Nothobranchius furzeri: one gene and its partners. The protein of the gene in region 1 interacts with the protein of each later gene in a pairwise test. Links are inferred from orthologs where the notes say so. Each region holds a gene or a part of one and is shown on either strand. Other genes may lie near its edges.

What was found.
Region 2: the proteins of AP-1 complex subunit beta-1 (region 1) and pom121 interact in binary tests that used the Homo sapiens proteins (3 or more experiments, as listed by UniProt). The two-hybrid records come from large-scale screens. The link is inferred for Nothobranchius furzeri from reciprocal best matches to the Homo sapiens genes AP2B1 and POM121.
Region 3: the proteins of AP-1 complex subunit beta-1 (region 1) and neu4 interact in binary tests that used the Homo sapiens proteins (3 or more experiments, as listed by UniProt). The two-hybrid records come from large-scale screens. The link is inferred for Nothobranchius furzeri from reciprocal best matches to the Homo sapiens genes AP2B1 and NEU4.
Region 4: the proteins of AP-1 complex subunit beta-1 (region 1) and thap1 interact in binary tests that used the Homo sapiens proteins (3 or more experiments, as listed by UniProt). The two-hybrid records come from large-scale screens. The link is inferred for Nothobranchius furzeri from reciprocal best matches to the Homo sapiens genes AP2B1 and THAP1.
Region 5: the proteins of AP-1 complex subunit beta-1 (region 1) and nucleoporin p54 interact in binary tests that used the Homo sapiens proteins (3 or more experiments, as listed by UniProt). The two-hybrid records come from large-scale screens. The link is inferred for Nothobranchius furzeri from reciprocal best matches to the Homo sapiens genes AP2B1 and NUP54.

Annotation. Positions count from the first base shown.
Region 1 is NC_091750.1:66,891,169-66,896,158, reverse strand, and holds the start of AP-1 complex subunit beta-1, read right to left. Parts: upstream 3,014-4,990; 5' UTR 2,883-3,013; intron 1-2,882. Other genes in the region: tectonic-like complex member MKS1, read right to left, coding at 3,429-3,532, 4,105-4,202, 4,446-4,528, 4,743-4,876. UniProt on the Homo sapiens protein: Component of the adaptor protein complex 2 (AP-2). Adaptor protein complexes function in protein transport via transport vesicles in different membrane traffic pathways.
Region 2 is NC_091750.1:52,614,853-52,619,928, forward strand, and holds the start of pom121 (nuclear envelope pore membrane protein POM 121), read right to left. Parts: upstream 2,971-5,076; 5' UTR 2,838-2,970; coding exon 2,272-2,837; intron 1,792-2,271; coding exon 1,585-1,791; intron 1,428-1,584; coding exon 1,278-1,427; intron 1,185-1,277; coding exon 1,104-1,184; intron 1,019-1,103; coding exon 847-1,018; intron 765-846; coding exon 676-764; intron 597-675; coding exon 517-596; intron 419-516; coding exon 297-418; intron 224-296; coding exon 124-223; intron 1-123. Other genes in the region: polyubiquitin-C, read right to left, coding at 4,251-5,076. UniProt on the Homo sapiens protein: Essential component of the nuclear pore complex (NPC). The repeat-containing domain may be involved in anchoring components of the pore complex to the pore membrane. When overexpressed in cells induces the formation of cytoplasmic annulate lamellae (AL).
Region 3 is NC_091753.1:42,144,518-42,149,430, reverse strand, and holds neu4 (sialidase-4), read left to right. Parts: upstream 1-2,065; 5' UTR 2,066-2,280; coding exon 2,281-2,481; intron 2,482-2,600; coding exon 2,601-2,856; intron 2,857-3,130; coding exon 3,131-4,074; 3' UTR 4,075-4,243; downstream 4,244-4,913. UniProt on the Homo sapiens protein: Exo-alpha-sialidase that catalyzes the hydrolytic cleavage of the terminal sialic acid (N-acetylneuraminic acid, Neu5Ac) of a glycan moiety in the catabolism of glycolipids, glycoproteins and oligosacharides.
Region 4 is NC_091746.1:71,097,098-71,101,912, forward strand, and holds the start of thap1 (THAP domain-containing protein 1), read right to left. Parts: upstream 2,971-4,815; 5' UTR 2,856-2,970; coding exon 2,785-2,855; intron 1,043-2,784; exon of another isoform or gene 910-1,042; coding exon of another isoform or gene 908-909; intron 279-907; coding exon 86-278; intron 1-85. UniProt on the Homo sapiens protein: DNA-binding transcription regulator that regulates endothelial cell proliferation and G1/S cell-cycle progression.
Region 5 is NC_091746.1:59,724,228-59,729,270, reverse strand, and holds the start of nucleoporin p54, read right to left. Parts: upstream 2,971-5,043; 5' UTR 2,758-2,970; coding exon 2,715-2,757; intron 2,300-2,714; coding exon 2,192-2,299; intron 2,044-2,191; coding exon 1,963-2,043; intron 1,815-1,962; coding exon 1,650-1,814; intron 1,286-1,649; coding exon 1,199-1,285; intron 282-1,198; coding exon 135-281; intron 1-134. UniProt on the Homo sapiens protein: Component of the nuclear pore complex, a complex required for the trafficking across the nuclear membrane.

The DNA.
Region 1 (4,990 bases):
CATCATTTGTTTTCCAAAAGACGGACAGTTAATAAATCTCAAATCTTTTGATTTTTACTGTCATCATCATTCACTCTGATCTGCATTGCATTAATGATCATGTCATCATTAAAATTCAAACAATATACAGCAATTTGGAATGGCGTCTAATGCATGTTGGTATATGCATACATAAGAAAACTTCTAGAATGTTAACCCAGATAATGATATGAATCATTTCATAGTGTTTGGTGCAAAACACCTGCATGTTCCAACTTGTAATAGAAGAATTGTTAGCATGGTTGCTTTCTAACATCATGAAGAACCACCTTAAATCCTGAGGCAAGGCCTCCTTAAGCTTTACTAAGGGGATCAGGGCAAACAAAAATAAAGGAATCTGGCATTATGAGTTTAGTCTGTAAAGAAAAGATTGGTTTAATGTACAAATGTTATGAGAGACCGACCGATATGGTTTTTTTAAGGCCGATGCATATTTTTAAAGAATTTTGTTGCTGATCGCCGACATTTAAAGCCAATTATTAAGGCCGATATATACGTGTTTTAGCAGCACATTTATTGTGAAAGACAACTGAACACTCACTATGTGCAATATAAATTAAATAGGTCAATAAATCTATTTTTATTCAACTTCAAATACAAAACAAACTCAAAACATTAAAGAACAGGTCACCCCCTACCAGAGTATTACGCCGGGGACACACCGGCCGCGGAAGCGCCGCAAAAATGGGACCGCCTTCATTCGGCGCCCTTGTTAAACTATTCTATAGACCACATGAGCCGCTGAAGCGCCGCGAATCGCCTCGGGCCGGCGCGCGCCGGCGCTCCAGCCCACGCCGTGCAGCGATCATTTCGGCGTCGGCTCTATTTTTTTCGCAAGCCGCGAGTGAATCGCGTCAATTCTGGCAGGAAGTCAAACCTAGACATAAGAGGCAGGCCGGTAAAGTTAACAAAATAAAGCATTTCAAAATAAAATTCCGCAATAGTCAAATGTGTTCGTAATCAGACACTGCAGAAAAACCACACGAACACACACAGACATACACACACATTGAACTTGTGTGCGTGTGTGAGCACGTGAAGGGGGTGTGGTTTTGGGTGTCTTTTCACCGGAGCAAACAGGACAGAGAGGCAGAAAGTCTGAGGCAAGCAGTTAAGATGGATGACTTTAAATTAATTATGGAAGTTGAGAAACACAAGGAGCTGTACGACCCCCGAAAAACATGGTTATTTACGAACCCATTTCGGAAGAAACTGCTAGGATACAGCTGCAGAATTGGAGCGGGTTCCAAGAGATTCAACAGACAGAAACAACTCATACCATAGGTTCACACACACACACACACACTCAAACGTAGAGGAAAAGAGCTGAGAAAAGGCAGAGAGGAAATGGAGGACACCAAGTGTTTAAAAGAAAAACTACAGCTGAGCCGAGGCGCGCCTCGACTGGAGCGCGTCTGATCTGAACTGAGGAGCGGCGAGCAGCGGCCGAATTTCGTGAGCGATTCGCTTCTCGGCGCTTCCGCGGCCGGTGTGTCCCCGGCGTTACTCCACTCCCACTTCCTGTTTGAAATATGCAACAAATGCAGTTGCCTAGCAGACCGAGGGTGGAGCCGCTAACAAATACACACACACAGGCTCACAACAACATTGTAACATCATATGGTACCAGCTAACATTTTAGGGTACCTCTTAGCCAATAGTGATGGCAGATTTAAATTCAAATGCAGTGCAGAGTTTTTACCTGACAACGGCACAACACTGACAGTTATAGGCCGAAAGTTATAATTGTAACTAAAATGCACTAAAGCGCTAAACTTTCGACTACACGTGTCTGCAGCATGATGACTCACATTTATATCAGAAAACATAAAAAATTGATTTGGGGGTGACTTGCTCTTTAAAAAACGGTGTGTTGGGTCCTTTCTTCAGTCTAGTAGTAGTGGCAGTTGGTCATACAGGTGCCCGATTTATTTAATTTTTTCTTAAATCTGCTTTTAAAAATAATTTCGTCCTACATAGAAAAGATAGAAAATATCGGCCGATATATTGGTTGGCCTCTAAATGTTATCATCCTTGGCGTTTATTTCTAACCTCATTTAAAAGGGCTACAACAATTCACAGCAGCTAGATTTGTAAGTAAATCCTTGCTGCAGGAAGAAATGATTCACATGAGCTGCATTTGAATTATTTTATTTTTGCCTCAACAAATACAAAACATTCACACAATCATTAAAAAAGTCCTTAGGCGTGTGTTTCCATAAGATCTGTTAGACTTTTTGAAAAAATTTGCAGGCTTTTTGTAAAAATCTGCAGGACACATAAGTGATCCGACATCAGATTTGACCTTGTTCTGTTTGTTTATGACGCTGGTGGCTCGCGAGCGTTTCAATGAGGAGCCCGTTGCCAAATATACGTTATGGCTTCAGAGACATTTAAGCAACTATTTGCCTCAAACTGTACACCTCTATTAAATATTTACGATAATCCCACAGGCACTAGTCGAGACAGTTCACTGTTTCAGGGCGTGACACTTTTAATCCAGAAACATCAACTTAATACATAATTCCCCTTAGCTAACATTGGTTAGCTTAACGGCTATGTACGAAAAAAAGCATCAACACTCATTCCGCAGTAAACAGCCCCAAACAGTGAATCTAAATAACCACCAGGGTTTTAGTTTCAGAAAACCGATTTCAGTTTTCGTTTGAGCATTAGGCTAAATCTGACACAAAAAAGAGAAAAGCGACCAGCGGCCCAGTTCCCATCGCTACATGCCTACTAGAGATACGCTAAAGCAGCCATACATTGACTAAGACACACAATTTACACATCAAAAAATTACACGATTGCAAAATTAACGTGAAATATGTGTACTTAAGTACCTGGTCGTGTGTGAAACTGAGAGGGAAAATCGCTGAACGGTCCTTTCCCTGGTTGGAGGAAGATGGAGAATGGTGCGTTTACAGTCATGGAAAATTGGACTACTTCCCTTTGGAGCTAAAACGAATGCTACGTTGGAGGACAACCCGCAGTCAGATAATGCGGGTTTCAGTCCATTTGTTTTGTTTTAAAAATGGGGAAAATATACCACTTCATTGCATATTTAATTTTTATTTAGTTAACCTTTATTTCAGATAAGAAAAATAAACAGTAAAATAAATAATAAAAGAAAACAGTACCTTGAATTTTGTAAAAAAAAACTGCTGGTATTATAGTACATTTATTAGACAAGTGTTATGCTCCATCTCCTAATGTTGGTGTAATAAATCGTTTCTGATGATTTTTTAAGTTAATAACATTTGTCAATAAAATGTCAGTTACAGTCTGAGAAGAACAGAAGATGACTTGAGACAAACTTTTCAGTTTTGGAAGCTTGTGCAGGATCCTAAATGCATCTTGAAATGTCAGTTTTAGTGTGTTTTTGGTTTTTATGCAGAAAATTCCAGCTCGAGTTGGGAAGTAGAGTTGATGGCTTTTTGTGGGAACGTTTCTCTGGCCTCTTGTAGCTTTTTGTATGCTCTTTGAAAGGCCTCTGAAGGGAAATAAAACAAACAAACAGAAAATACAAATTAAATTAACCCTGCAGAAAAATTCCCTGTTCTTTCTACATTTTTGTCTACTTTGGGCAATCAAGCTGCAATGCAAGGCTTGGTATACAGTCCATAACATTTTGTGAGTGTCCTAACAAATCCATCTTCCAGTGGTTTGAAATAACGAGAATCTAAATGATAAATGACCCATAATTGTATAGCGCCTCTCAGAGTAAGGACTCCAAAGCGCTGTACACTACAGTGTATCATTCATCCATTCACACACACATTTACACACTGATGGTGATGAGCTACGATGTAGCCACAGCTGCCCTGACGCTCGCTGACAGAGGCTAACTGGTGGCATTATGCTAATTTTCACTCCCGCTATCATAAAATCATTTCATGGTAAAAATAATAAATGGTGGAACATTCAGAGCCTGATTACAGTAAACTTTTTCACTTAACCACACACACAGAACTCACAGCTCACACAAACAAGGATACACTCAGCAGCAAACAGGAAGTGAAAGTCTTTTAAACCCTGATGCAAATACTGTGTGAGTATGTTTACCCAGAACATTGCAAACATCTCCCTGCTGACTAAATCCTCCCAGCTGGTCGATGACTTTCTGCCTCCTCTTTTTCTGAATGGCAGCGTCAACAAAGGCCCTGAAACAACCAGAAGCGAACAGTAAACACTTTTTAAAAGTAAAGATGAAACAATTTGCATTAATAATACAGATCTTTGTGAAATTTGTAAATGGAACACTTGCATTTGCATTAAGAAATAGTGTTTTGCATGCAGTGCAGAGAGTAAATCTCACTTCTGATGTTTTATTCATTCCATATAAACTGTTAAGCTGTCAGGGAGAAAATCAGAAACAGCTGCTTGTTGATTAAACTGGTCTTTACCTGGCTTGTTGGATGCAGTTCAGATTAAATGTGACACTTCCTGAGGTTAGACTGCAGAAGCCCAAGCGACTCAGCCTGTCTCCCTGAAACCAGACACCATTGTACCAGATTAAGAATCATAATAATGCATTAATTTACTTGCTTGCTCAGGTATACACAGTTAACTTGGTGATAACGAAATAATGCTACAACTACCACAATGTATATTTTTAAAACATCATGTTTCACCCATTAAACCTTCAGGAGAAAATTTATGCAAAGGTTCAAAACCTGGAATTAGCTTAGCTGTGAGTGCACCTTGAAGGTCCCTGGTATTCTGACATAGCTGTGATCTTCAATCTCTGCAGAACCTCCGATAAAAAAGCGCCTCAATGCAGAGACCGTCCCCATCTGAAGAGGTCGCCATGTGTGACAGGTCATGGTGTGCTTACCTGGGATGCACCAGAAACAGAATATATGATGGAGATGAATGATGGAGCATGCAGAGGAATTATTATTAACTTTTCTGAACCATGTGAAGTTAAAAATCTTGCATATTTGAAATT
Region 2 (5,076 bases), about 14 Mb from region 1:
AGACAAACACATACAGAAGAAGTAGTTTTTACTGAAAAACCTGCTTATGGGATAATTTATAAGGTGTTCAAGGCTGCAAGTATAAAAAATGTGAATTTATTCCTGCAGCTGGCTTTTTCTTACCAGTTGTTTCCAGGACTTTTTGGATTTTACTGATAGCAGCTTTTTTCTCTTCGTCTAGATCTTTGGCTGTGATGGTGTAGCCCAGCTCAGGAGGTGGAGGCTGCACATGAACAACCACAATAATGCAATCTGGATGCAAATAAACAAATGTGAGGGAGATCAGCGCTCCTCACCAGAGAGATGCGATCATCTCGGTGGCTGGACACCAGCTGGATCTTCCGTTTTCTCTTCCCACCACTTCCAGTCGAGTCTGCAGAGGTTGTGACTGGGGATTTGATCACCGGAGTTTGTTTTACTGCAATATTATGAAACAACATCATATTTGTTTGTGACCATACTTTGAACATGAATCATCTAAATTGGAAAAGTCATCTACAGATAAATGGGAATTACTGGTATCAAGGGTCTTGTCTGATGCAGTGTGGTCCGACTTCACTGAGGATGCAGAGCTTGGAGACTGAGTGTCATCCTCTCTGTTGATTAGAAAACATAAAAAAAGCTTTAATTTGTAGTTAAATGTGGTTTAATGATGACAAACATGCAGAAACAGACCTGGGTCTTTTGGCAAATCCCTCTGGAGTCTGAGAGCGAGACGATTCAGGGCTCGATAGAGGAGAGCTGGGTGCAGATGGTTTCTTCCACTGTAAAGAAAAACAAAAAATGCTTCGATTTGCTTTTGCTATGCAAAAACCCCCTTTACTAGACTCCGGTAGATGAAGATACCTGACTAAAACCTATCGAAGAGCTGTAGGAGCTTTGGATTGCATTTCTTCTGGTACCCGAAGTTCCTCTCGGGGCATGAACTCCAGAACTAGAGCTGATGGAGGAGGTGCGAGACCTCTTCATGGTGGTCTCGTCTAAGGATGCGGTCATCCCTCTTTTTAGGCTCCCTGGTCTGGAGAACATTAATAAAAACAACATTTAAAGCTTTGTCCAACATCTAAGATTATGATTCAGCTTTACATACAATTCTTACTCACTTAGGGACCAGCTGGGATGGTGCTCCATTAGGCAACAGAGGCTCAAAAGCAGAGTGCGAACTTCCACCGCTGTCATTGCGCCTAAGAAAAGCCATAAAAAGAAACCATAAGACAGCTGCTATTGTCCAGACTGAGCAGACAGTACCTCAAGAATCTATTAAACAAATTTTCTACCTTCTTTTGCTTCTTTGCTCAGCGGTGAAGCTCCTGTCCTCATCCTCTACTTCCCTCTTGCGGCTTTCCTTCAACACCTTGAGGACGCTCTCTCTGGAGCAGGGGTCTGCCGGGACCCTGGTGAGCCCTGCACAACTCAGATGATTCACACTAAAAACCAGAGCAGAGGACAGTCAGCACTGATTCGGCTGAAAGTAGCAAGACCTCAAGCAACAAATCAAGGGCTATCCAAATAGTAAATTAAAAGACAAAAAATTAAAAATTAAAAATAAACGGTCGTGCCCAAAAACATTTAACCTGCAGAGACCTGGGAATGTTGTGGTCGGGCCTGGCGATCTTTACAGTGACGGGACTGAGAGCAGCAGGGGAATTTCGAGGACTCAGGATGTTCTTTTTTCTGAAACCATCCCACTTGACAGGAGGCAGGACTCCTACTGAGGAGACTCCAGGCTGCTGAAGGGGGTAGCGACGCTGGGGGGTGATGGTGAACCTGTTAGCTGCACCCAGAGGCTCCCTGCAGAGGAGATTGTAATGGAAGGAACAACTTCAGCAGGTTAAAACGTACAGATGTTATGGAATAGAAATAAAACAATATAAAACAATCACTTTACATGTGAAACATGCAGCTGCATAGAAAAAGAAACTATGCTGCTCATCCTAACCAAAAAGTAAAGATATGCACTTTAACGAAAAGTTAGTAAAATGCTCTGTTAGTTTTTAGACAACACAAGCGTGTAGACACAACAAGCCATCAAAACAAAAGATTTATCACAGTAACTTAGCTAAAAGCATGAGTAAAAGAAGCCAATGAAACAAAGTTATTGGATGTTTTTAAAACGATTCCAAGTTAAAGAGTTCTGGTTAGAGCTTTATACGTTTCAAACATGTGGGTTTTGTGTGCTAACAAGCTAGCTAACGCTATAAACATTTCTTTTTCATGCAACACGTGAATTTAAACAGATGGATCAGAGCTTAATAAACCTAATTAACTCACCCAGAGAACGAAAGCCTCCTGTTCGGGGTATAAACTGCATGGTTGGGTCTGGACAGTTGTTCTCGCAGTTGCTCCCGGGGATTTCTCCCGGCTTTTGGCCTCCCAGAGACGGCCGCTGGACTTTCGGCTTTCCCGATGTAACTCCCCATGAGAAAATCCCGAGGGCTGAAAAGAATCGAGTCACTTGCTAAGGCTTCTCCTCGACAGAGCCCGGTTTTACTGAGCTTCGGGAGTCCCTCTGTCTCCCGGTGATGGTGCTCGGATCGGTTGCGGTTCTTCGTTCTACTCCGCGCGGCCACCGAGACGCCGGTCGCTGTCCAACCCGACGACCAGCGCCGCAGCACGCCCGAAACGTTTAATCCAACCCGAGGATTCGGGCCTAACCTGGCGGGAAACGATTCTCCGCTGTGATAATAAAAAGCAAAACAACAAGCTGCAAAAATTAAAGTAGCGTACAGAAAAGTGGGGATGTAGTAAAAAGCGAAGGTGATTAATCCTAAAACAGAGAGAAGCGCTAACTGTTTCTCCCTAGGTGACATGGCGGTAGCGCGCCGCCTCTCTCGCATTCAACATGCTGCTGCTCTATCCAACTGCTCGCGCGGCAGCGCTCCCTACCGAGCACAGGAGCGAACTACACCATCAATCCACACGTCACCGTGCACACTCGCCTATGCACGCAAGCACACACTCACAGCAGACTTACCGCTCAGGGAAATAGCAGACTCAGATTCTGCAGCATTCTGGAGGGTTTCCTGTTAACCGCGATCATTAGATGAAAAAGGAGAGGAGGGCGTTTTTTTCAAGGAGGCATGGGGCAAGCGGCTCCGAGCGCCAACTTGTCACATCGGCAGGTGAGTGGTTGAGCCAGGTGGAGGTGCGGCTACCTCAGCTGGAGACCAGTGCACTGCAGCCACGTGGTGATTTGCTGACAATGTCACGTTTTTCAGCTTAGCCATCAGCTGTGGCTGATTCTAAATAAATGTGGAGCAGTTTTTAACCTGAAGATGGAGATATAAAGTTTTGGGCCGAAATTAAATTTAAAGTTGCACCAAATTGCCACACTGATTACACATCTACAGACAAAAAAGTTAATTTAGATGTTACTCTTAAAAGTAAAAGACTCATGCGGAGTTAAAAGCCATAAAAAAGGGGTTTCAAAAGAGATTTAAAACAAGACAGCGATGATGCCAACCTAATATTTAAAGGCAGCACATTCCAGACTACACTAAAAGCCCCCACCTCAGAGGCTAGGTCTCATTCTTGGGACTTCCAGGAGCATCCATCTCATCAGCTGACCTTAGACCCACAGGAGTAGAACAGCAGCAGCTCAAAAGTAATGTTGAGTAAGGCCCTAAGGCCATGCATAGATTTTAAAGTACCTTATACTGGATACTAAAGCAAGCAGGTAGCAGTGCATTGATGCCAAGACAAGGGTAATGCTCCATCTTTATCCCAGTATTGTAACCTTCGCTTTAAATTAAACGTTAGGTTTCACAAACATGTTTTGATGACTCTTCCCTGCTTGTGAAACAATTTCAAAGATAGATAAGTCTGAATTATTTGCTGTAACCACAAATACATATACTTCCTTCTGAAAGCTCAGATCTGCCCTCAAAATATGCTAACATTAAGTTTTACATGCATTTGATATTTATGAGCTGTTAGTGTGGAGATCTAGTGGGATTTGGAATTAAGTTTGAGATTTAATTTTGAAGGCAATTGTGGCAGATTTTTTTTTGTTAACACCGTTTACATGTTGCCATCTAAAATTGGTCTATTCTGCAACTTTTAGAAGTCTGTTTAATTGGCTTCAGGGGAAACTGCTGAACAATTTTTGTAAAACATTTCAAATGAAAGCAAAAGCAAATTTAACCTTTTATTGTGATAACGGAACATTTTTGGTCACAAGTTAAAAACAAATGTAACTTTTAATTTCCAAGCATTACATGGCAAATGAAACCAACTGTGGAACCATGACTTTACTGCCCACCCCTCAGACGCAGGACAAGGTGGAGGGTGGACTCCTTCTGAATGTTGTAGTCTGAGAGGGTGCGGCCATCTTCAAGCTGCTTGCCAGCAAAGATCAGCCTCTGCTGATCTGGGGGGATGCCTTCCTTGTCCTGGATCTTAGCTTTGACATTCTCAATGGTGTCACTTGGCTCGACCTCCAGGGTGATGGTCTTTCCTGTGAGGGTCTTGACAAAGATCTGCATTCCACCCCTCAGACGCAGGACAAGGTGGAGGGTGGACTCCTTCTGAATGTTGTAGTCTGAGAGGGTGCGGCCATCTTCAAGCTGCTTGCCAGCAAAGATCAGCCTCTGCTGATCTGGGGGGATGCCTTCCTTGTCCTGGATCTTAGCTTTGACATTCTCAATAGTGTCACTTGGCTCGACCTCCAGGGTGATGGTCTTTCCTGTGAGGGTCTTGACAAAGATCTGCATTCCACCCCTCAGACGCAGGACAAGGTGGAGGGTGGACTCCTTCTGAATGTTGTAGTCTGAGAGGGTGCGGCCATCTTCAAGCTGCTTGCCAGCAAAGATCAGCCTCTGCTGATCTGGGGGGATGCCTTCCTTGTCCTGGATCTTAGCTTTGACATTCTCAATGGTGTCACTTGGCTCGACCTCCAGGGTGATGGTCTTTCCTGTGAGGGTCTTGACGAAGATCTGCATTCCACCCCTAAGACGCAGGACAAGGTGGAGGGTGGACTCCTTCTGAATGTTGTAGTCAGAGAGGGTGCGGCCATCTTCAAGCTGCTTGCCAGCAAAGATCAGCCTCTGCTGATCTGGGGGGATGCCTTCCTTGTCC
Region 3 (4,913 bases), on another chromosome or scaffold:
AGCTAACATTTGCTCTGCTAATCTGTTGAACAGTGTGGCTTGAATATTGCTATAATTAAACTAGCATGTTTTGGGCAACTCCATATTTTTATGTCTAGATTTTCTTGTAATGTTTTACAGTATTTCAACAGTATTCTATTGACCTTTTACTCTTTGGGTATAAAAAGGTTCCAAAAAATCAGCAAACAAATTTAAATTGGATTTAGACACTTTGGACTTTTCTGGAATTGAGATGTTTATTCCAGAAGCCAACTTAAAGAAGAGCCCTTTCATTCCTCATGAACTAAATTAAAAAACTGTGCTAAATCTTGCTGCTCACAGAGTATTTAGGAGGGGAGGTAATGAAAATTGGAAATGGAAAGAACATCAGTTCTCCATAAACCGGCCACAGTCAGGTGCACTACATAAGATTCTTTTACGAGGAGTCCAAAGAACAATCAGGAAAGTTCTCCAAGAGTTAAGAACAACCGGAGCAGAACTTCAGGAAGACCTTGCATCAGCAGGCACAGTTGTTTTTCGAAAGGAAACTATATGCAAGGCACTGAACCATCATGGCATCCATGCATGCTCACCACACAAGACTCTATTGCTGAACAAAAAGGCTTGTTGAGTCTCGGTTAATGTTAGTGAAACAGCATTTGGAGAAGCCTGTGGAATACTGGGAGACTATAATATAAATTTGGCTCTCATTCTGCACCATGTTTGAAGAAAAAATGGCACTGCCCACCTCCCATATCAACAGTTAAGTTTGGGGGTGGAAGCATCATGATGTGGGGCTGCTTTTCAGCAAGGGGTACTGGCAGGCTTCAAATTATTAAAGGCAAAATGAATGGAGAAAAGTACCGGGACATTCTGGAATAAAATCTACTGCCACCTACCAGCTAAAAACAGACAAAGGGTGGTTCATTTGTTGTGAGATGATGATCCCAAACACAAGGCCAAGGGAACAATGAATTGGTTTCAAAGGGAAAAAAAATCAAGTTGCTTGAATGGCCCAGTCAATCACCTGACCCAAATCCCATAGAAAATCAAAAGAGAACTGAAGATCAAAGTTCATAAAAGAGGCCAAAGGAACCTTTAAGATTTAAAGATCGTTTGTGTAGAAAAATGGGCCAGAATCACTCCTGTGCAATGCAGACAACTGGTCTCTCCATACAAGAGGCGTCTAGAAGCTGTAATCACCAAAACACACACACACACACAACCATCCATTGACTTCCATTTCATTGTGACTGTATAATGCCTATGCATAACCAGTGCTGCTGTATTCCTAACCCTAACCTCAACAAAAACTTCATTCCCACCATACCTCTAAAACCAACTGGTAAGCTCTCTAAAATAGCGAGGACCGCACTCATTCCCTCTGTTGGTTTAAAATCTCATGATGGTCCTCAGTACGTAGTAAGTACAAGAACACACACACAAGGCTCTGAGAGAAGAGACGTGCTTTACACATTAAAACGAAACGTACGTTGTGCTGAAAATGAAAATATGAAATCAGAGAGGCGGAGCATCACATCATTGTTCAGCACCCCCCACCAGACCTGCTTTTCTAACAATGGCTGCTCTCTGCTGATTCATTCAAAGCCTTGGATCTGAGGGGTGTTCATTTCTGGGTCAGTGCACAGGATGCCACACTGAATAGTGAACAGAGATTCTCACTACACTCACTGACTACACACATACATCATACTGTGAGCCTCTGAACCAGGAGCTCACACGCAACCGGTGTATCCTCGAAAAGCAGCAGCGGTTCTCTCAGAGATCTGAGACAGCAAGGGTTCTCCTGTTTGTGACACTTTGAAGTGTTGAATCCTCCCAGTGCTGTTAAACTGGGAAGTTACTGGTCAGAAAACAAATGAAAATATTCCAGTAAACGGGTGGAAGAGATCATTCTCTGACTGGTAAGATCATTTACTTTATTCAAACTCAAACTGAGCTCAGTGCAGCGACATTGGTTTGACTGCTGATCTGTTGATTTTTGTCACAGAGTGGTTGCTCAGATGGTGAAAGATTTAGACAAAAATCTTTGTGTAAAAAGCTAAAATACAGACAAGTTTATAGTGAAGTAGCATAGAACCTGATTTTCAAATTAATTTCTGCCATTTAGTATTTCTGATGTGTTTCATAACTTAAATTTTCATGATCACAATAGTTACTGCTCCTATTCATAAAGAAATGCCTTTACTGTTTTTTCTCTTTGTCTTTTGTCCTTAGTTGTGTTTGAGAAAACTTCCTGATTTTGTGTCACTGGATTCAGATTCAGTCCCAACAAAGAGGATGAGGTCGCCTTACTTCCCAGCGAGAACGGTGCTCTTCCACAAGGAGCCTAACGGAGTGACGTACCGAGTCCCAGCCCTGATCTACGTGTCCCGGTTCAGGACTTTTCTGGCTTTCTGTGAGGAGAGACTCAGCCCGTCTGACTCCCAGGCTCACCTGCTCATCATGAGGAAAGGAACTTTCTACAGGAACTACGTGGAGGTCACTGACCTGTCATTCTGGGTTTTTTTTATATCATACAAAAACATTTGTTTAGAAATCGTTTGAATTGATTACTGTTGGCTTTAACTGTAATTCTTTACATTTTTATTCTGTTTCAGTGGGAGGACATGCGAGTTCTGGGTACCGCCTTTCTGCCGGGTCACAGGTCCATGAACCCGTGTCCCGTGTACGATGAGTTCACAGGGACACTTTTACTGTTCTTCATCGCTGTTCTGGGTAACACCTCAGAGTCCTACCAGCTGGTGACGGGGAACAACGTGACCCGACTCTGCTTCATCTCCAGTACTGACGGGGGTGACTCCTGGAGTCCAGTCACCGACCTCACCAAGGCAGTCATCGGAGACACCATCAAAGGTCACCGAACCCAGACAAACCTTAACCCTAGATGAAAACTACACCGTCAAGTTGCACTTCAGGTTTATTTGATCAGATCCAATAACTTATAAAATATCCAAAATAATAAATAAAATAACATATCAGAAATAACAGCAGGTAGGTCAACAAAATGAATGCATTTTAAATTAAATAATGTTAAAGATCTGGTTCATCTGATAAGAATAACAGGAAGAAGCTTTCAGAATAATTGGATGACACTGATTGGTCCCCTTTATTTCCTCCCTCCTGACAGAATGGGCTACGTTTGCTCTGGGTCCGGGTCATGGCATCCAGCTAAAGTCGGGTCGTCTTCTGATTCCTGCCTACTCCTACCACATTGACTGTAAGGAGTGCTTCGGACAGCTTTGCCAGACCACTCCGCATTCATTCTGCTTCCACAGCGACACCCACGGGAGGAGCTGGCGTTTCGGCGAGGCTATTCCGGCTCCAGAGAGTGTGGAATGTCAGATGGTGTCCGTGGATGAAGAGGATGGCACCAACGTGCTGTACTGTAATGCACGCAGCCCTCTGGGATACAGGGTGCAGGCCCTGAGTCTGGATGATGGAGCTGTGTTTCAGGAGGGGCAGCTAGTGCATCGGCTGGTGGAGCCTAGAAACGGTTGTCATGGTAGCATTGTTGGATTTCCTGCTCCTTTGCATCTACAGCAAACTCTACAGCATCCCACAGGTCACTCCAGGCACTGGACGTCATTCCTGGACTCCAACAAAACGACAGAATCATCTTCAAACATCACACCTCATCATGATGCTCATCCAGACTTCCTGACCCCTACATGGGTGGTATATTCCCACCCAACTTGGGCCACAGCACGTAAGGATCTAGGTGTGTTCCTCAGCCTGTTTCCTCGTGATCCAGACAGCTGGCGGGGCCCCTGGGTGATCTACGAGGGTCCCAGCGCATACTCAGACCTGACCTACCTGGAGCTGTCCCCCTCGCCTGGGGCACCGCCGGCTGTGGCCTTCGCCTGCCTCTTCGAGTGTGGCTCTAAAACCGCCTACGATGAAATCTGCTTTAGTATCTTCACCCTGCATGAGTTGATTGATAATTTGCCCGGGGCTGTGCAGCATTTGGGTGAGACGGGATGCAAACGCGAGACCCCAGGAACAACAGTCCAATGGGAACCTCGAGTGAAGAGGAGGAGGAGAAAGCTCATGAAGACGTGCTCTATCTCTTGAAGAGTTAAATGTTTATTCTCTTTTTTTTAATCACCAAGCTGGGTTTGCTTGTCAACTATATTAAGTTCTGTAGAACTTCCTGTTAAATATAGGTAGGAAAGATGTTTAATGTAAGTTTTGTAGTTTTTTTTAAATAGATTTTAATTGTAAAGATTTAATTTTGACATTTCATGTGTGGAGTTTTTATTTCTTCTTGTGAAAATGCTCAGAGAATTAATTTAAATAAGAATACAAATCATTGCTGGTTTGCAAGAGGAACTAATTCAGAGGTGTCTCTAATCAACACACCTGATTTTAATCAGTTGGTGCTTAACAAGCTTCATCTGATGACCTAGCCTAGTGAACCAGACCAAATTCTTGCTTTGCAAAGTTTGCAAGTAATACATTTATTTAGTCTGGCTTGCCAGGCTACTGATGACCTGCTGAACAGGTAAATTAATTGGTGAATCAGGTGTGTTGGAGCAGGAAAAAAACTTTTTTGAAGCAGGACAGTGGTAGCCTGGCAAGCCAGACTAAATAAAGGTATTATTTAGTCTGGCCACGCTCCATTGACGGCTCTCGGTTGTGGGGCGGGTTCTACCGTTGTCTTTCAAATGATCTCCACATTCCACTGGACAATGAATATGACATACTCTTGTTTCACTCTGTTGCATCATCCCACCCACCAGGCATATAGAGTGCCCTGATTGGCCCACAAAGCGGATAAAGCTCTGTGATTTGTTCACTAAGCAGATAGAGCACTATGATTGGCCCACCATTATGGACCAATCACAGCTCTTTATGTGTTTGAAACCCCTCTAGAGAGCTGTGATTGGCTAGCCAGAGTCCTGGTAGGAGCT
Region 4 (4,815 bases), on another chromosome or scaffold:
AAACCACACTTCAGAGTCTCAGGGTTAAAGCCTTCAGGGCCCAAAACATTCACATCCAGAACCAGAACCACACTGGGACTCTGACCTTCATGCTGAGGGTAAAGGTGAACAGCGACGGGACGGCGTTCTCCTTGAGAACCCGGTTGTTGCACTCCCTCTTGAAGCAGTCTTTGGTGAAATGCTGGGAGCAGATGTTGCTGTACTTGGTGGGTTTGAAGTTGTTCCTCCTCATGGCAGCGACCCATTTCCCACAAACATCTGGACGGGCCAAAGGAAACCTGGGAAAACACGTCAAATGGTACAACAGCTGGGGAAGTGAAGTCCTCACAGGAACGTCATTCAGATGAAGACAGGCAGTGTTGGGAACGTTACTTTAAAAAGCAATTAGTTATAGTTACTGATTACTTTGTCAAAAAAAGTAACTCAGTTACAAGATTATAAAAGTAACTAATTACCAAGAAAAATAACTACTTAGTTACTTTTTTCATTAAAGAATGCAAGAATTACTATAATAGTGAAATATAAATGACTAATGACTGGAACATAATAAAACCTGAATAATTTAAATAAATAAGCACTTAACAGGAGGAACTACTAATAGGAACATTACACTTATCTAGACTATTAAAAGGTCTCTGTGTGATATTTAACAAAAACCCAATCAGCTAACATTTAAAATTGCAAATAGAAACACCTGTAAAGGTTCCCGAGCCTTTAAATGGTCTCTCAGTCTAGTTAAATTACAGAAATAAATGTAATTTTCTACGGTATTTTAATTTTTCCAGCTTCACATAATTGTGTGTTTTTAGTAGCATTTCTGTTGCAGGTAATCTAGTAACGGTTAAATAAATAAATAAAATCCTTTAAAATGACACTAGAAGAGGCACAAGCCTGATGGAGGACTTACATTTACTAACTTGGGTCAGACCCAACCACAGAAGAGCTGAAGCTGGGTGGTAAACACACACAGGTAGTTCTGATAACACCTGAGCTCCATGACGTCTGAGACTGATGCATCAGTGTTACAGCGGGACTAAAGACATGATCAGAAACAGGTTACAGCTGGATGATCTAGGAAGGTAGAAGATCAGGACGTCTGAGAGGTGAACAGGTGAGCGGACCTTCGGGACGTCCCGCTGTCACGCTAAGAGCACGGCTGCAGACCCACAGATTCGCTACTGCAGCAGCGAATCATTCATCACGTCTTCCTCGTTCTTCACGGTCCGTGATGCTCTTGGATGAAAACATCTACCTCTTTAGCTCCTGATCAGCTGATGACAGCTTCAACACACCGCGCTGCTTAACGCACGCATTTCCTTATCAGTAACAGAAATGACGTTTTGATAAAAGAAGACGGTAATTAATTAGTTTGCTCGTTACAGGAACACTTTTTTTTTATTAACGCGGTTATTTTAAACGGCGTTATTCCCATCACTGCTCTGTTGTGTCTACAGAATGCAGCGACTGAGACCGTGAGGGTCTCCGCCCACCCGGCCAATCACCATCGTGTTTGTAAGTGCGTTACCGACACCTCTCTCTCCCTGGCTGCAGCTGAAGTGTGGCGGTCAGAAAGCCTCACGCTGCTGCTCAACGTTCGACAAGCACGTGGTAACGGTAACGGCGTTGCAGCAGTGGGAAAAGTAATCAATTAAATTATTCCGTTACCTAAAAAAGAACGCCGTTAGCAACGCCGTTATATTTAAACGTCGTTACTCCCAACACTGAAGACAGGTGAAACAGAACTACCTCATCACTTCTACTTCTAAACACAACTGGGCTCAGTAAAACCGACGGCTGCAGGTAGAAACACGAGAAGATCCGAAACGTCTTCAAGAACCGTCAGGAACCCAAACCATCAGAGGCTGAGAAAAGAAACCAGGTCCAGTGGACTAAAAAGGACCCATCCTGTGAGTCCAGTCTGCTCTAGATCAGGAGAGGATGACGGAGCTTTGGTCTGGTTCTGGTTCTGAGGACAAATCCAGACCGTCTCTACAGCCAGAGATGATTAGCATGGAGGTCATGACCTCCACCGGAAGGAGGACATGTTCTCACTCCATCAGAGCAAAGCACGGTGGTGGTGATGAAAATGAACAAACGTCAACTCAGACAAAGTGACTGATGAGTTCTGGAGGAACCAGAACCCGAGCCAGAACCAGCCTCTGTAGCTGATCTGTGAGAAAGCAGAATGATGAAGATTTTAGTGAAAAAATCCAAAATGATTCCAGCGATAAAATAAACGACTTTTAATAAAAACCTGAGTTTCTCCACGTGACCCGATGACGCCGCATTAATTACAGCAACTTTACTGAAGTACTGAATGTTTATCTAAACACCAGGAAGTGTGAAACACACCTGCGCCGACGCTCCTCCACACCTGGCCTGAGTTCTCTCCACACCTGGTTTTATGCTCCTCCTCACTTGGCTGCTGCTGCTCCACACCTGCTCTGATGCCCCTCCACATCTAGCCTGAGGCCTCGCCACACCTGGTTTTATGCTCCACCAGTCTGGACAACTGGAGGTGTTTCTGTGTTTGTAGAATAAACTGGTCCTAACCACTAGCTGCTCTGGTTTTGCTCCAACATGTCAGACTAATGGGACTACAACACCTGGACACCTGTTGAACAGGTGGTTCCTCTGTGAGGCCGCTGCTCGGACTTCTGCTTCATTCAGCACGAAAACATGAATGAATAGACTGCTGTGACTGAACGAGGCTGTTTCTGAGACCGGACCGAAGCTCGGGCGGGCTAACGAGAGTCGGCGCAGAAACACCGGAGCCGAACTTACTTGTGGAAGGAGACATCTTTGTCTTTGTGGTACCGGTTCTTACAGCCATAGGCTGAGCACGTCTGGACCATTGTTTCATCCCAGAAAACGAACCGAACCTCCGCCAAACCTCGTTGCCGTCAGTCCGATCAGGCTTCACTGCCAATAACAAACATGGCGGCGGAGACAGGGTCACCTGACCCGCGTTCTGCCCCCTGATTGGCCTCTCTTCCTGGTAACTGTCATTTTAGTGTGTGAAGCGAAACTTGTTAGAATTTTTTTTATTATAAATCGTTGCAGATAAAAAAAATAAAAATAAAATAAGTAAAGGATAAAATAAAATAGTCACAGAAGAGCAGTTGGACAAAAAACATCTTTTCTTTGAATGCTTTTAATAACTATCACTTGATTTCATACAAATATCCTTTTGTTGTCTTTTTACCGTGTCCTGTCCGGCTGTGAAGCAACCAGAACTGATGTCTGACTGCTGAAGACGAGCCTTGCAGCTTTATTCTCTCAGGTGGAGCTCACAGCTTCTGCCGTAGCCACTGCTGACACCAAAACTTTATTAGCAACACTTTCGGACACAGAGACAGCTGTGAGAGAAAGGGGGAGAGTGAAGGAAGAGGTGAGGGAGGATGAATTATATAAATAATAAATGATGAAGAAGAATCAGCTTCTGGAGAGAGAGAGAGAGAGAGAGAGAGAGAGAGAGAGAGAGAGAGAGAGAGAGAGAGAGAGAGAGAGCGTGAAAAGGAGACACACAAAAATACAACAAGACAAAACATCGCTGCTCCAACAGCATGAGGATATATAACAGTAACTGCTTATGCTGGGAAGCATACCATAATAATTCATAGTGCATTTAGATATGCAGGCAGACCGAGGCACCGCCCACCGGTAGAACAAGTGGCAGGAGGGTACGCGAAGATGTCGTAACACCTCAAGATGTCTCAGCAGAGGAGAGGAGTCCAAGACCCCACCTGACGTACATGCATCCCTCATGCTTACACACACACACACACACACACACACACACACACACACCCTATTCACTCTGGTCCTGGTACTAGTGATGGGAATGGCTCAGCTCACCAAAAAGAGCCGGCTCTTTCGGCTCCCAAGTGGCTCCTCAGATTTTCTTTTGCGCAGAATACATTTATAACCAAAATAATGCAAAACTATTTGTAAAATGATTTACTAATGTAAAAAAATGCTGTGTATCAAATATTTATCATTTCTATGGATTTAATAACTGAACACTTTAAGAAATCTCCACTTTCCGACTGCTGGCGCTAATTTTCTCACCGTCTTCGTCGCACTCTCCTCTCTCTGCCTTTTTCCTCCTCCTCATTCCCGCTCGCCTCCCTCCGCCCGCATGTGCTCTGCTGTGTGTCTGAGTCTGATCCTCCCTCTTCTCCGCCCCTACTGCTCTGTGTGTGGACAGTCTGGACACGCAGTTACACATGTTGACCAATCACCTGCAGCTTTCACCAAGGCAGGGGGGGAGGGGGAGGGCTCCCATCGTTCACTTCAAAGAGTCGGCTCTTAGAGCCGGTTCGTTCGCGACCGACACATCACTACCAGGTACTACTGCGCAGAGGACACAACCATCCCTGGACACCAGAGCTAGCCCCGTTCTAATTAAATAATCTAATCTCTGCTCCAAACACAAGACAATAAATCTGCTTCAAATGCATTTATTTATTTTTACCCAAATTCTGCTTTTTTCTTTATTGCCTACTCGTATACTCCATTCTGAATTGTGTTTTCCTCTATTATTACTATTGTAGTGTTCACCTAAATCACGCCGGATTACGAAAGTTTCAAATCTAATAAAACTTAGAGTAAATCTGAACAATGAAATAAGTTTTTAAGTAAAAAAAATATTCAATAACTTATTAAACGTGCTTCAAATCTGTCTGTAGCTCATTATTTATGCATATGGATGTTTAAAGTTGATCTCCATGAGTCTTGTTTTACAGCCTAAATTAGAACATTTATATTAAGAAACGAGAGAAAATGGTCAGAAAATGTGAAAAAAAAACAAAA
Region 5 (5,043 bases), on another chromosome or scaffold:
GATGCCCATATATTGTGCACCCCTAATAGATACTGTCTGAAACTGGATTTATTCATGTACAGAAACAGACTTGGTACAATAATAATCTCCTGATTTCTGCAGGTAAACACTCACTTGGAAAAGGAGGCGCTCACCTTGCTGCTGCGTCGGCTGGATGTTAAAACCTCCAAATCCAGTTGCTCCTAATCCAGTTCCAAACCCTGATGTTCCAGTAGCGGTACCGGTTCCCAGTCCTGCTGGGAATCCAAACCCTTTGTTGGCTGTGTTCCCAAACAGGCCTCCTAAGACAAAACGCATTCAAAAGCAACAAATTAAAACCCAAAAAAGAAAAGATGCTGTCAGCTCTGCAGAAGGAACACAGCAACAAGGAGAGCCCCGTGTTTTGGTAAAGTGAGACATCTTGTAGCAGCTCAGTGTTCATGCTAGAACAAGAATATAGCATCATAGAACCTGCTGTTTTGGTTGTTTATTTGGGATAAAATAGTAACTTGAACTGGTGTTAATAGGACATCACCTGCATCTTACACATGTTCTTAAACATTCATTTGTGATTTTATAGTAAATAAACTGAAATGGTAATTGGCATTTCTGTGTCAGAGGACTCGAAAGTGCTTCCACGAAGAACAGTCATTCACACGCTGGAAGTAGACCGGACTGGAAGTAAATGGGCGTGGCTTAGGCTCTCTACTGCTGTTTATTACATTTCCGCTGGTCCGTCCCCTAAAGTGTACGAATGGTACGTGCAACTTTTATGTTCCTGCCGTGCTTAGCAGCTGTTTTTAGGCATTTCATTATATATTTTTTTTATATATTTATAAATTGTTATTGAATTGGCAAGTGTCACAGTGCAATCGATTGATTAAATGGTGAATCTGCTCACCATTACTGATTAGCAGACGAGAAGTGTCATCTCATGCAATTCCCAAACTGGAAACCTAACCTGCTCTGGAGAATCAGCAGGGTCTCAGTAAAAATATCTTGTAAAGGCATGAGACCTCTAACGGTCAATCACCACTTTGACTACTAGTAGCAGTATTCACCAGCACCTTCAGAGTAACATGTAAAGCTGGGGGGTGGTTCCATCAATATATATTTTTTATATTCAAGTTAGTCCAAATTCTTCCTAATGTCGCCACGCACAGCTTTAATATTTATTTTGCTCTAAATGTGTACTCACAGAGGTTACTCTGTTACTAACCTGTTGTATTGGAGGGGGTAGTAAAGCTGAAAGTGGACCCCGGTGCAGCAGCTGTTGTTGTCGTTGCCCCAAAGCCACCAAATGTACCTGGAAAGGAAATCAAAGAATAATCCCTCCAATGAAAGGAGTTAAAGGGAAAGGAGATGAGAGAACAAGAGTTGGAAATCACTGGGTGCATGGTGAGTAGCAGAAAAGTATTTCTGGCAATGATCAAATGACATCCATCAAACATGATGTTCTGCAAAAAATGTACTGAATGTCCACATTCATCATCACACAAGATGAGAGCATAGTTTAACACAGTCTTTCATGCAAAAACAGTGAAACTTCAGAACATAGATGTATAAGAGTCACCAGGTGAGATGGAGAAAGAAAAACACTGCATCACATGGAGGTGGACACAAACGATTTTTGCAAACACAAAATGAACTCGATCACAGAGATCATCTACCTGTGCTAGTCAGGCTATTACCAAAATTGAAAATAGTGCCAGTAGTGGTTGCTGTACCAAAGCACCCTGCATTAAAGCTGATTGCTGCTGGGTTGGCATTTAAACCAAACCCCCCAAAACTAAACCCGCCAGCCATGGTGCTTCCAGCTCCAAGCCCCCCAAATCCTGTAGCCGAAGCAGGCAGGCAGCAAGAAGAAAGTAACACGGAGTTAAATGACACAATGCTACATTTGGCACCAGCTCTTCAGTGAGTTAATCGTCTAAAAATCAACAAAACGAATGAAACGCGCTTTAAAACTAATGTTTGTCCTACCCGTGTTGGTGGAGCCAAAGCTAAATCCTGTAGCGGGTGCAGAAGTGGAGGTGACAGTCCCAAAACCAGGAGCTGTTAGAGCTTTTTCACACACACACACACACACACACACACACACACACACACACACACACACACACACACACACACACACACACACACACACACGAATGAAAGCCAAAACAAAACACAGAAGACCTCTTGAATGTGGGTCAGGAGCGTGACTTACTGCCAAACCCTGAAGAAGCGGTGGTCGTGGTGGCCGTGGGGTTGAATCCAAACGTGGTTGATGCCGTCGTCTTGGCACCAAATGCGCCGAATGAGAACCCGGGCGCGCCTTTAAAAGAACATAAACGAGTCTTTAAATGTTGGATTACATCTCTACTGTATCCTTCGATGCTTTTCTGAAAACTTCATACAGTAGCTAACTAGTAGCTGATTCGTAGCATGACGCTAACATGGGGAGGCTTTACTGCTAAAGGTAGATGACCAAGTAATCTGTCCCGCATCTGAATACGTAACAAACTAGTTATGACTTTAACTTAAAACGTGGAACACAACCCACTGAAGTTTGCTGCATTGGCCGGATTGTGAGATTACATGATGCTTCAACAGCAGTTAGCTTGCGACACGTACTAACTACATATGCTAGTAATGCGTTCATATCCTTGTGGCGTCTGGTTTATGACACATATCCGACACAGCTTTCGCTAAGAGAAAGAATACAAAGTAGAGGTAACTAAAGTCCATACTTGCTTCTGTATTGCTCGTGGCGCCGCCAAAACTAAACGCCATGTTGGCGAATGTCAGTTCTTCTTCGTCGCTTCTTTTCTTCTTCTCCTGTTTGATGTTTTATGCCAGTTGGCGACCAACGTCGTGCCACATTACTGCCACCAACTGGCACGGAGTGTGGACTGGTTAGTACACATGTGTGCGTTTTCCTACATAATCAATCAATCAAAGCTTTAATTATAAAGCGCCTTCCACGACCCTGTCAGGAAGCCAAAGGCGCTGAAACTAGAGTTAGTCTAATCGTTTCTGTATTTCTCAACACATCGTTCATACTCATAGACTGTTCATACTTCAACAAAGCAACGCTCTTCCGCCACCTAGTGTCCGGATTTTAACATTGTTCAGCTTTAATTTGATCAACTTTATAGTACAAATAAAAACACGACGAGCTATTATGTTCGAAAAAAGAAAACAGTCATATTTCAATGAATGAGCATACATAAAAATAAGCACAAGAAAATAAAGTATTAGAGGAAGTGCTTACATTCTAAATAATATAAAGGGAATCTCCAATTATTAGAAGCTTTTGAGGTTTATTAGTCCTTGAAGAGCCATGAACCGTATATTATTATTATTATTATTATTATTATTATTATTATTATCCATACAAACTATACATACATTTTATTATAAATTACCTTTGGTAACACAGAATCATTCATGAGTTTAGTTTGAGTACAAAAGAATTAGCAAGCCACCCTATATCCTTTTGCTTGTGCTACAGTCGATCTAGATTTCTGGGCTATTACATGAATGCAAACATACACACATGAAATAAAAAATATTCTGAATTGTTTTACAAAAGACAAGACTCATTCATTTATATAGCTTGCCATCTTTTCAAGTATTAGTAGAGCCAACAGATGAGCTTATAGACAGTTCTAACGAGAAACAGGCTTCAACACAAGCAGGTGTTTTCCGCTTGGTCCTAGTGCTCAACCAGTGCCAATTTAATGTAGCGTAATATTGTTTGTGGATGGTAAAAAGTGCAGGGGACAAAAATTGACTTTTGAAAAAGTGGGGGGACATCTTCCCCCTCCCCCCTCCAAAAAAAAAACTAAGTCCATGTATGGGTGAATTTATATTTGCTGCTGCTATGCAAGTATGGCAAAGATATTTACAAATAAAAACGAATAGAATATTATGTAAACTTGAAACTTATCGTAACGCTTGTCAAAGTTACAGATTTTGGAGGTTTCATCCTTGCTCCCGTGTCTGCAGCTAATCTCCTGTATTTTAATTCCCTCTGCACTCACATCTTATTCACCAAACTCAGAGGCAAACACAGAACTACTGAAACTACTTTTTTATTTTGTGTACAGAGTAAAAACAACAAGATGCAACATTTCATAGCAAGCAGACACTCAGGACACGTGTTTGTAGCAGTAACAATCAATTCACAGAGATTGTATCTAATCAGCATTTGGCACAAAGTAGCCCAGTGTAACATCTACGTGGTGCTTTCAGTGTTTTGGTTTGATCAGTGTAACAACATAATTTAACCTCCTTCAACAGAACTGGACTAATGTTGAATAATACTGTTTGTTACATCAGAAACTAGTTATCTATTAGTCCACCCGCTCATTAATTCTAATCTCCTTCACTATAAAACCTCTACGACTTCGGTGTATTTTAATGTTGTACAATTAAACAAAGAAGGAACAAAAATCTAAGTATTATCTGTTATGTACATTGTGGTTGTTCCATTGTGTACATTGTGAGATGGGGTGAAATAACAGAACTAAATACTCTTAGAAACGTTACAACAAAGTAAAAGAGCAGGATAAAAAAGCTGGGCTCATCACAGTTTCACTTGAATCATTCCACAGCGTTTTCTTTTAGAAATCATGAAATGTGACTGAAAAATCAACATTTTCCCCAATGCAAAGAGAAAAAACACACAAGTGTCACTCTGTTTTTGTTTGTTATCTGTATGCACTGTAGAGTAGATGGATTATAGGCTGTAACAACTATTTTATACATAGAAATGAACATAACTATCTATTTCAGCTCCTTTTAAAGTCACAGCTACAGCATAAAAACACAGCAGTGTTAGTGTCAGGATCTCAGAGCAGAATTGTGGCTGTGCTCGTTATAAAACTACTAGACTCATGCTCAAGCTGGTCTACATTCAATAGTTTCTACATTTATAGGAAAGAGAGAAAGAAAAAGCAACAGGTGTCACAATTCACAGGAAATCCAAACACAAAGTGTTTGTTTTTTTACCTTAATCCCTGTCATACACACACAGGAACAAAAGTGGTTCAACACACTCCGTTTATACATACA